Neodiprion lecontei: one gene and its partner. The protein of the gene in region 1 interacts with the protein of each later gene in a pairwise test. Links are inferred from orthologs where the notes say so. Each region holds a gene or a part of one and is shown on either strand. Other genes may lie near its edges. The genes, in order: programmed cell death protein 2 and 40S ribosomal protein S2.

What was found.
Region 2: the proteins of programmed cell death protein 2 (region 1) and 40S ribosomal protein S2 interact in a two-hybrid assay, tested with the Drosophila melanogaster proteins (2 studies listed by BioGRID). The link is inferred for Neodiprion lecontei from reciprocal best matches to the Drosophila melanogaster genes Zfrp8 and RpS2.

Annotation. Positions count from the first base shown.
Region 1 is NC_060265.1:23,290,962-23,295,109, reverse strand, and holds programmed cell death protein 2, read left to right. Parts: upstream 1-1,920; 5' UTR 1,921-1,999; coding exon 2,000-2,378; intron 2,379-2,512; coding exon 2,513-2,933; intron 2,934-3,032; coding exon 3,033-3,135; intron 3,136-3,217; coding exon 3,218-3,391; 3' UTR 3,392-3,394; downstream 3,395-4,148. Other genes in the region: uncharacterized protein LOC107217756, read right to left, coding at 4,135-4,148.
Region 2 is NC_060265.1:4,273,128-4,277,469, forward strand, and holds 40S ribosomal protein S2, read left to right. Parts: upstream 1-2,050; 5' UTR 2,051-2,100; intron 2,101-2,563; 5' UTR 2,564-2,564; coding exon 2,565-2,930; intron 2,931-3,121; coding exon 3,122-3,616; 3' UTR 3,617-3,680; downstream 3,681-4,342. Other genes in the region: protein MAK16 homolog A, read right to left, coding at 113-259, 386-463, 570-707, 869-964, 1,069-1,381, 1,457-1,600, 1,679-1,725, 1,804-1,818. UniProt on the Drosophila melanogaster protein: Component of the ribosome, a large ribonucleoprotein complex responsible for the synthesis of proteins in the cell.

The DNA of each region.
Region 1 (4,148 bases):
CCTACTCGGAATACAGTATCGCGGTTGTTCCCGCCAACCCTAATGTTGTACGCATTATTTTAGTAAATGCTGGCAGACTATCGGTACATTAACATTTTGTAAAATTGATTAAAAACATCCTGTATGCCAATTAGCATTTTTCTAAGCGAGCTAAGCCAGCAGTTGATCAATACTTGTTGGCTGTTAAAAGATTGAAAATGATACATAACATCAGATGCATTTTGATTACGTTACGTTATGCCAGACATCGGAATTTTATCGATTTAACAATAATGTGAATAATTGAATACGTTCAAACCTCAGGTGAAACCACCATTTTAACGACACCATGGATAAATTTAAAAGTAGATTATTACATCATTTACGAAACACAATTCGATCTCGCGAGTGCCGAGTAAGTGATGGTTACCTGTCGCGATGCTCATTCCACTTTTAGCAACGTGTAAAATTTCTACCTTTAAGTAAGCTACGGTAAAATAAATTGCGAAAAAACAATTATTCGACTGAAAGTCAAGCACGTTGCGATCGTGAATGAGCCTATCCATGCAGCTAAGAAATCGAAGATTTGTGTAACAATTGTTACCGCCACGCCACGTGACAGAGGAATCCCAGGGAAAAATACCGATAACCTAACACGTGCAAACTCACCAACGTTGCCGAGAAATGGAAAAGTTACTCGGAAGTCTCTGCTTAAATCTGTAAAAAACAATAGTATTAATTTAACAAATTGGCTTTTCAGTTCGCAAATTAATTATTACAGTTTAGTTTCACATCCACTGCATGTTATGCAAGAACAAAAGTTTGGCCTGTTCGGCTCTATACGATGTACCACCTTGAATTATCAATCAATTAAAATAAGCATTGTTACCTCGACTCTGGGTTGCTCCACACTTTTATACGTAGTAGTTCTTGTAGCATCTCAGGTTCATTGGTGAAGCGTCGCACTTTGTAGATAATTCAGATCTTCACTAATCTCTTATAATGCACAAATCCGCACCGCAATAACACTCGATCCTACACTCACTTTTTGTACTGTATCTGTCTGTTTGAACCGACTGAATAACCTTGCTAACAATGCAACTGCGCATTTGCCGAAAATCAGCCAAAAAAATAATAATATTGACATTCGACGCACAGAGGACAAACAGATATCACTGAAATCTGAAGTTACACAAAACAATGAAAACTCGGGACACGAAATTCACCTTCACTTTCGCAGGACGTTTTTATTTCAGTAACTCAGTTTTTCTTCAGGCTACACGCTGCTCCTCGTGTATTATTCACAGATGAGCATGGTGAAAATACACTGATCGAACAACGTGACACAACCTGAACACCGCGGTCTGAACGTTGAACCGATGCTGGAAACACATGATTTCGCTCCGATTGCTCCGAAACAACTGATGCCGCACGGCGCTCTTCTCATCTCGTGGCCCTCACTCGATGGGTAGAGCGACAGAGAGGGCAAGAAAATTATTATCTTCTGTCCTTTAGAGAACCGATTTGAAGTCGTTCACGGGACGCTTGCGCCGTTGATACGTTATATTTTATACCTATATCTCTACGGTCTCAAGGGCCCGGTGAAAACCCACGTAAGCTACATGCGACGCGATCAAATGTTTAGAGCATTACCGTACATACGACGTCAGACGAAGTATGAATTCTCCGACCACTTACAGATATTTCTTAAACGGGATTTTCTTAACTGTTCAATTTCACTATGACGACGCTATGTTACCCACGTTTTGCACACGGTAGTAGTTGGTTAAGAAGAACTTCTCTCACCGCTGTGGTCAACTGCTTGGTTGATAATACGTGAAACTGCTAATACCTCCAAACCCGGCCAGACCCGGCAAACTGTTACGCAAAATAACCCGGGGTTATCCGTCTTTATATATCGGCTGAACGTTGGTTAAACCTTCGTTAAACACATGTACGAAGCTGTGGAGCACCGTGGAGTAACAAGTAGTTTAATTCGCTCAGTGAGTTGAGTTAAAGAATGGAAAATAAAATCGGTAGAATTGATATCGGATTTATAGAAGACTGCGAAGAATGGAGATTGGCGAGTAGATTCTTTCCTAGTAAAGTGGGGGGTAAACCTGCGTGGCTAAATTTGAAAGATATTCCTCGTAAGGAGGATGTTGAGTGTCAATTTTGCAAACAGCCATGCATATTTTTAATGCAAATCTATGCACCATACGAAAATAATGCAAAGGCCTTCCATAGGACAATATTTATTTTCATCTGCAGAAACCCGAAATGTTGTAAACCAAATAATAACAGTAATTTGAAAGTCTTTCGTTCGCAACTAGAAAAAGATAACAAGTTTTATCCATCCAACCCGCCAATTGAATCCGAAGAGTGGAGACCAGACATAAGTATGCGTTGGCATTCTAAATACTCCATTTTTTAACCATATTTCATTCGTAACCATCATATTTAAGTAATGATATTTTGTTTATCCTTTAATTCCTTGGATTATTCTATATTGTTCTTAAATTTGATTTTGCAGCCACAGAGACTTGGACAAAATCATGTTATGTATGCGGACTCAATGCACCTAGTCACTGTTCCAAATGCAAAAAAGTAAATTACTGTTCTCGGGAACATCAAGTTTATGACTGGACACATGGCCATAAGATTTATTGTGGAATGAGTTGGGATGCGGCAAAATCTAATTTGTTACTACCTGAGTATGAAATCGTTGTTGAAACAGAGGAAAACGATGATCAACTTTCAGGAAGTGAAAATGTGGTTGATGAAAATCAAGAAATAATAGAATATGAAAAATTAATAGTTCATAATGAGGCAGGCACGCTTCAAAATGAAGATAATGTTGATGCTGACTTACTGAAAATGTCTGCAGCAAATGAAGATGAAGTTTTTTTCGAATTTACCACTACAGTGAAGAAATATCCAGATCAAATCTTGAGGTATACTGGATCACAAATTGTTCCCTCTATCAGCAATAATAAGCAACTTGATTTAATATGTACATTATTATATTTATTTTATTTCATATTCCACCAAAGGTATGAGAGGGGTGGTAATGTCTTGTATATATCGTCCGAAAATCAAGTTCAAGAAATTCCAGATTGTCGAGAATGTGGTAGCGAAAGGCAATTTGAGTTTCAGGTCTGTATGGATAAAAATATAACTGAGAAAATCATTGCTTTCCAGTTTCTGAGTATATATATAATACAAAGTTCTTGTACAGATTATGCCACAGCTCTTGAATTACCTTCAATTTGAGGATACGCTGGAAAGTCTGGATTGGGGAATATTGGCTATCTTTACATGTAAAAACTCATGTGAAACAGCGAACGGTTACGTCACAGAATATGTGTGGAAACAAGATATTGTAGATGCAGAGAATAAAGAAAGTTTATGATAAGTGGTAGATAAAAAATATGTCTTTATTTCTTTCACATTGCATAAAGTTAAAAAAATATTTGGGAATAAGTATTTCAAGTTCCATAGATTGGACTACAACAAAAATACTTGCTTACACCACTTATCTTGGATTCATATACACATCATATTAAGTAAAAATTACTTATATTCCTATACTTAATACAAGAACGCTTTTTTCTTAATTATACGCAGCAAGTTCTTGAAATGAGCGTAATGATCATGAGAACAAATACATTATTTTTTAAATTGTCACAGCACCTTTATATAAAACTACTTGATTAATTAGATATACTTGAAACAGTAACTTTTGACACTACTTCCAGACTTTGCAAACAGAATGAAAGTTGTTCTGAAATCAATGGAAATTTTAGGATTTCACGTTTGGGAAGTTCACAATATTGCTTAAAAATATTTAATCAATGCAAAATAAATGGGCAATAAAATTTCTAGGTTTTTGATCACACTACCATAGACTACATGATGCATGGTGTATACATAACCGAAAAGGACCCCGTTTGAAATTATAGTAAAAAAGGACAAACTAAAAAAACTCCAACTACATAATATTCGTTCCAATATAAAAAACATGATTCGTCTCAAGTAAAAATGCACATTTTACACTGAAGTGTAAGATGGTACTAAAATCATATCTTAGATGTAAAGTTGCTACGCAAATAGAAGCAACTTCGTAACACAGTGATAGAACATATTGACTGAACCTTAGCATTGTAGGA
Region 2 (4,342 bases), about 19 Mb from region 1:
ATTAGGCACGTGAAATACGAAAATGCCGATCTGATACAGATTTATTAAAAAATACAGTAGTTTCAATTAATTTCACTTGATTCTTAAGATATTATTATAATAAATTAATATCCTAAGCCCGCACCCTTCGTTGTGGCTCATTTTCCACTTCGTATTCAATTTCCACTCTCGGCCTTTTCTTGCTCTTTTTCCCAGGTTTTGATGATTTCGATGGTTTAGTGTTTTTGGTGAATTTCTTACTAGTGGAAGGTACGCCATCCTAAAATAAGCATAATTATCATATAACTATCAGAAAATTGACCCAGTTTTGACTTTATGAACTCAAGTAGGTCAGACAATCCGAAAATTAGTTTACCAAGATGAAAAAAGATAAAAACATGTATACCTCGATATCTGATGCATCTGATTCAAAACTGTCGGAAAGTTGCACCTCCTCTCTGCGTCCAGAATCGCTATCTTCATTCTGGAATATAATTTATTGACTTACTTAAACAACTGTGTTATGAACGTAAAATCAAAAACATGATTTATTATTTAATTCAATTTTCAAACTTATGATCGATTTTCACCTGAGAAGCTTCGTGTACATCAATGTCATCATCATCGTCGTCATCGTCGTCATCACTGTCAGCGACAACGAATTCTTGATTATTTTCCTCAGCTTCCAATTCCATTTCAACCTCCTTTTCAATTTCTTCTTCTTTTTCCTGTTCATGAGATTATTATAAGAATAATTAAAGTCTATATGAGAAATGAAGTGGTGACAGATCTTGCGAGTCTCTAAGCAGTATGACATGTCACTTTCTGAGAATTTTAAGTTTTCATTTGACCCAATATGAGAAATACTGGACAACTTGTTCACACTGACCTCTTCTTCACTTTCGGCCTCGCTTTCTCCTTCAACCTCAACTTCTTCAACAGCTTTCTCAAAAACTTTTTGAGGAAAGTTGTAGATGTCGTTATACTAGAAAGACAAGAACAGTAAAAGCAACGGCCCCATAATTATTTGAAAATACAATTTCAGAGTTAAATAATATAGAAAACACATAATTTGAAGATTTCATTTACCATTCCTTGTTTCAATCTCTCCATAAGCTGTTTCTCAATCGCTGTATCTAACTTTGCTGCAATGAGAGCTTTTTCTTCTCTACGTCTTTCTCTTCTCTCTATTTTTCTTTGCAGGGGTACAAGCTTCTTTTGCCTCCTCAGCCTCAGTTTTCTCATTCTAATAAGATACTGAGTGATTTTGACAAACCTCTGCTTACATTTAGCCTTAATAAATCCAGGCCAATAGATTAGGTTTTCGTTGATCTGATATATTGCTTTTTCAAAGTTTCTGGACAATTTGACTTTCTCCCACATATTGGTAGGAAATGCAACCCTGTAGAAGCAATAAAAACAACCATTAGTATTGCGATAGAATATTTACTAAGAAAAATTTAAACACTATGCTTACCTCTCCGCTGTTCTCATATACAAATAAATTATCCCATTTTCTTCTCGTACAGTCGCGTACTGGCTATTTGCAAGCGGGCAAGATGCACGGCTACAAAGCCCAGTCAGGTTGTATTCATTTCTACAAAACCTCTGACTTTTCGTGCTGAAAATTAACAATGTCGTCAATTACTAAGGATAAATGTTGATTCGTTCCAACTAGGTATTCGTTGATTCCACTTACTTGACTTTGAAGGAACAGAACGATTTGTTTATAATACTCCAGACAACCTAAAACATATTTTAGGTTAGTTTTGTTTCCATTTGAGAAACATCGTCTGACAGATTTAACCGTGTATCTTTACTCACGTCGTCGTGTTGCATTTTAGCTGAACTGCAATATCAAACGATCTATAATAATTAAATTTAACACTTGCGAAATGGCACATTAAATGCCGAACACAGCACGTGGGCTCCAGCGTACTTCTGAAAGAAAAGTTTTACAGGTTACCCGAGAGCCTCGAAAGCTTATGGCAGCATTGTTTCCATCTACCGCCGGCTAAGGCAACGACTATGGAGCGTTGGGACGATTCTAGCGCCGTCAGTAGATCCGGTGGCACAGGAAGTTCTTTCTTTTGGTGACCGTGTTTATCAAAGGAATCGAAAGTAAGTAACGCTGCTGATATTTGTTGAATTTACGCGTCATAACGTACCAAAAACTGTGAGAATCGTGAAATTAAGAATATACTGATGTTTCTTATTATGATTATAATCAGCCTGACTGGTTTTGCTTTGAAGTTTTTCATATATCATTCAATTTAGAATCGCATACGTACGCCACGTGTTCTAATGGAGCCGATTCGTTGTCAAGAGTTCCAATCTTCCCTTTTACTGAAAGCAACTTGAATTCTGTTTTAAACGAATCACGTCTGCGAAATTTCGTTTCTCTAAATTCACGATCAACTTCCAATTCTTTGAAAGGCGAGAAGCGTAATCACTTCACTAACTTGTATACACCATTTTCGAACTGCCGTGTAGCATGAAAATCAATATGTCTATAATTTTTTAGGAAATCAGAAATACATTTGTCACTATCTAGTGAGCTAAAGTCAACATTACTCTATTTCAGTATGGCGGACGCAGCTCCAGCCGCAGCCACAGCACCAGCACGTGGTGGTTTTCGTGGGGGATTTGGCTCTCGTGGAGCTGGGGGTGACCGAGGAGGTCCAAGAGGAAGAGGCCGTGGTGGTAGAGGTAGAGGCCGTGGTCGTGGCCGTGGTAAAGAAGATGCCAAGGAATGGATCCCAGTTACTAAATTGGGACGATTAGTAAGAGATGGGAAGATTCGTACTCTGGAAGAGATCTACCTTTTTTCTCTACCCATCAAAGAATTTGAAATCATCGATTTCTTCATTGGGCCGTCTCTGAAAGATGAAGTCTTGAAAATCATGCCTGTACAGAAACAGACTAGGGCTGGTCAACGTACTCGTTTCAAGGTAAAGCAATCTTTAATAAGTAATGTAACGATTAAACAAGTTGGCACGTGCTATAAACTGTATATAGTTGATTACCCGGTACAGTAGTACAATTTTATTATATAAAGTGCAGTAAAAGCTATGATCACTTTCTCCAGAGTGAAAAAAGTTCATCGTACATATGACAGTTCTTACTTAGTAATGTTTTACAGGCATTCGTCGCCATAGGAGATAGTAATGGTCACATAGGTCTTGGCGTGAAGTGCTCAAAGGAAGTTGCTACTGCAATTCGCGGAGCCATCATTTTGGCCAAATTGTCGGTTGTTCCTGTGCGTCGTGGTTACTGGGGAAACAAGATCGGAAAGCCACATACCGTGCCATGTAAAGTAACTGGAAAGTGTGGCTCTGTCCAGGTGCGACTAATCCCAGCACCTAGAGGAACTGGTATAGTTTCTGCTCCAGTCCCCAAAAAGCTTTTGCAGATGGCTGGTATCGAAGATTGCTACACCTCAGCCAGAGGATCGACTGGAACTCTTGGAAACTTTGCCAAAGCTACTTATGCAGCCATTGCTAAGACGTATGCTTACTTGACACCTGATTTGTGGAAGGAAATGGTCCTCACAAAGGCTCCGTATCAAGAGTACGCAGATTACTTGTTCAAGAATCATCGTCCAGTCACTGGTCCGCGTCCCACTGAAACTGTATAAAAAAAAAAACAAAAAACCTGACCTGGTTGTTACAGTAATAAATCTTCTTGGATAATTAAAATGACCACTTGTTTTGCTTAATTCTTTTCCTGTTGTACGTATCCTCTTCCTATAATATATTCAAAACTTTTATGTATAAAAAGAGATTTCAATTGACTGTGTTATGTTAATTTTCGTGCTAATATGATAACCTACTGCAAAACAAATGTTCTTCAAATTAATACGGGAAATTTTTATCAAATTTAGAGTTTTGGTAACCTATAGCCTAAATGACGGTAAATAATTTTGTGATATTAAATAATATATTCCAATAACATGTTTTTTTCAATTGACGTATGTTTGACCATGGGATTCATTTCATTTATATTCCTAATTATTATATTAGTTTATGCATGATTTGTTGCAGAAGGCCACATACAATACCTAAGAATTATCAGATCGCTATAAATATGACACCCTTCTGTCGGATTACGATTAGCTTAAGGTTCATTATATTCAAGCATACAATGACAAGATTTCATGAAAAAGTAATTAAAACTAGATTAGGTTGTATAAACGTTTACGCGGTCGGTAAAAATACCGGTTACATATTAATGAGCACGCTTATACTTAGAATTTACAGTGAGATACGTGTAGAAGCACAAGAACAATTCAAAATAACATTCTTACATATCTAATACAAACAATCGTTTTGCGAATATGACAGTTACCCAGTTAGGTACTGAA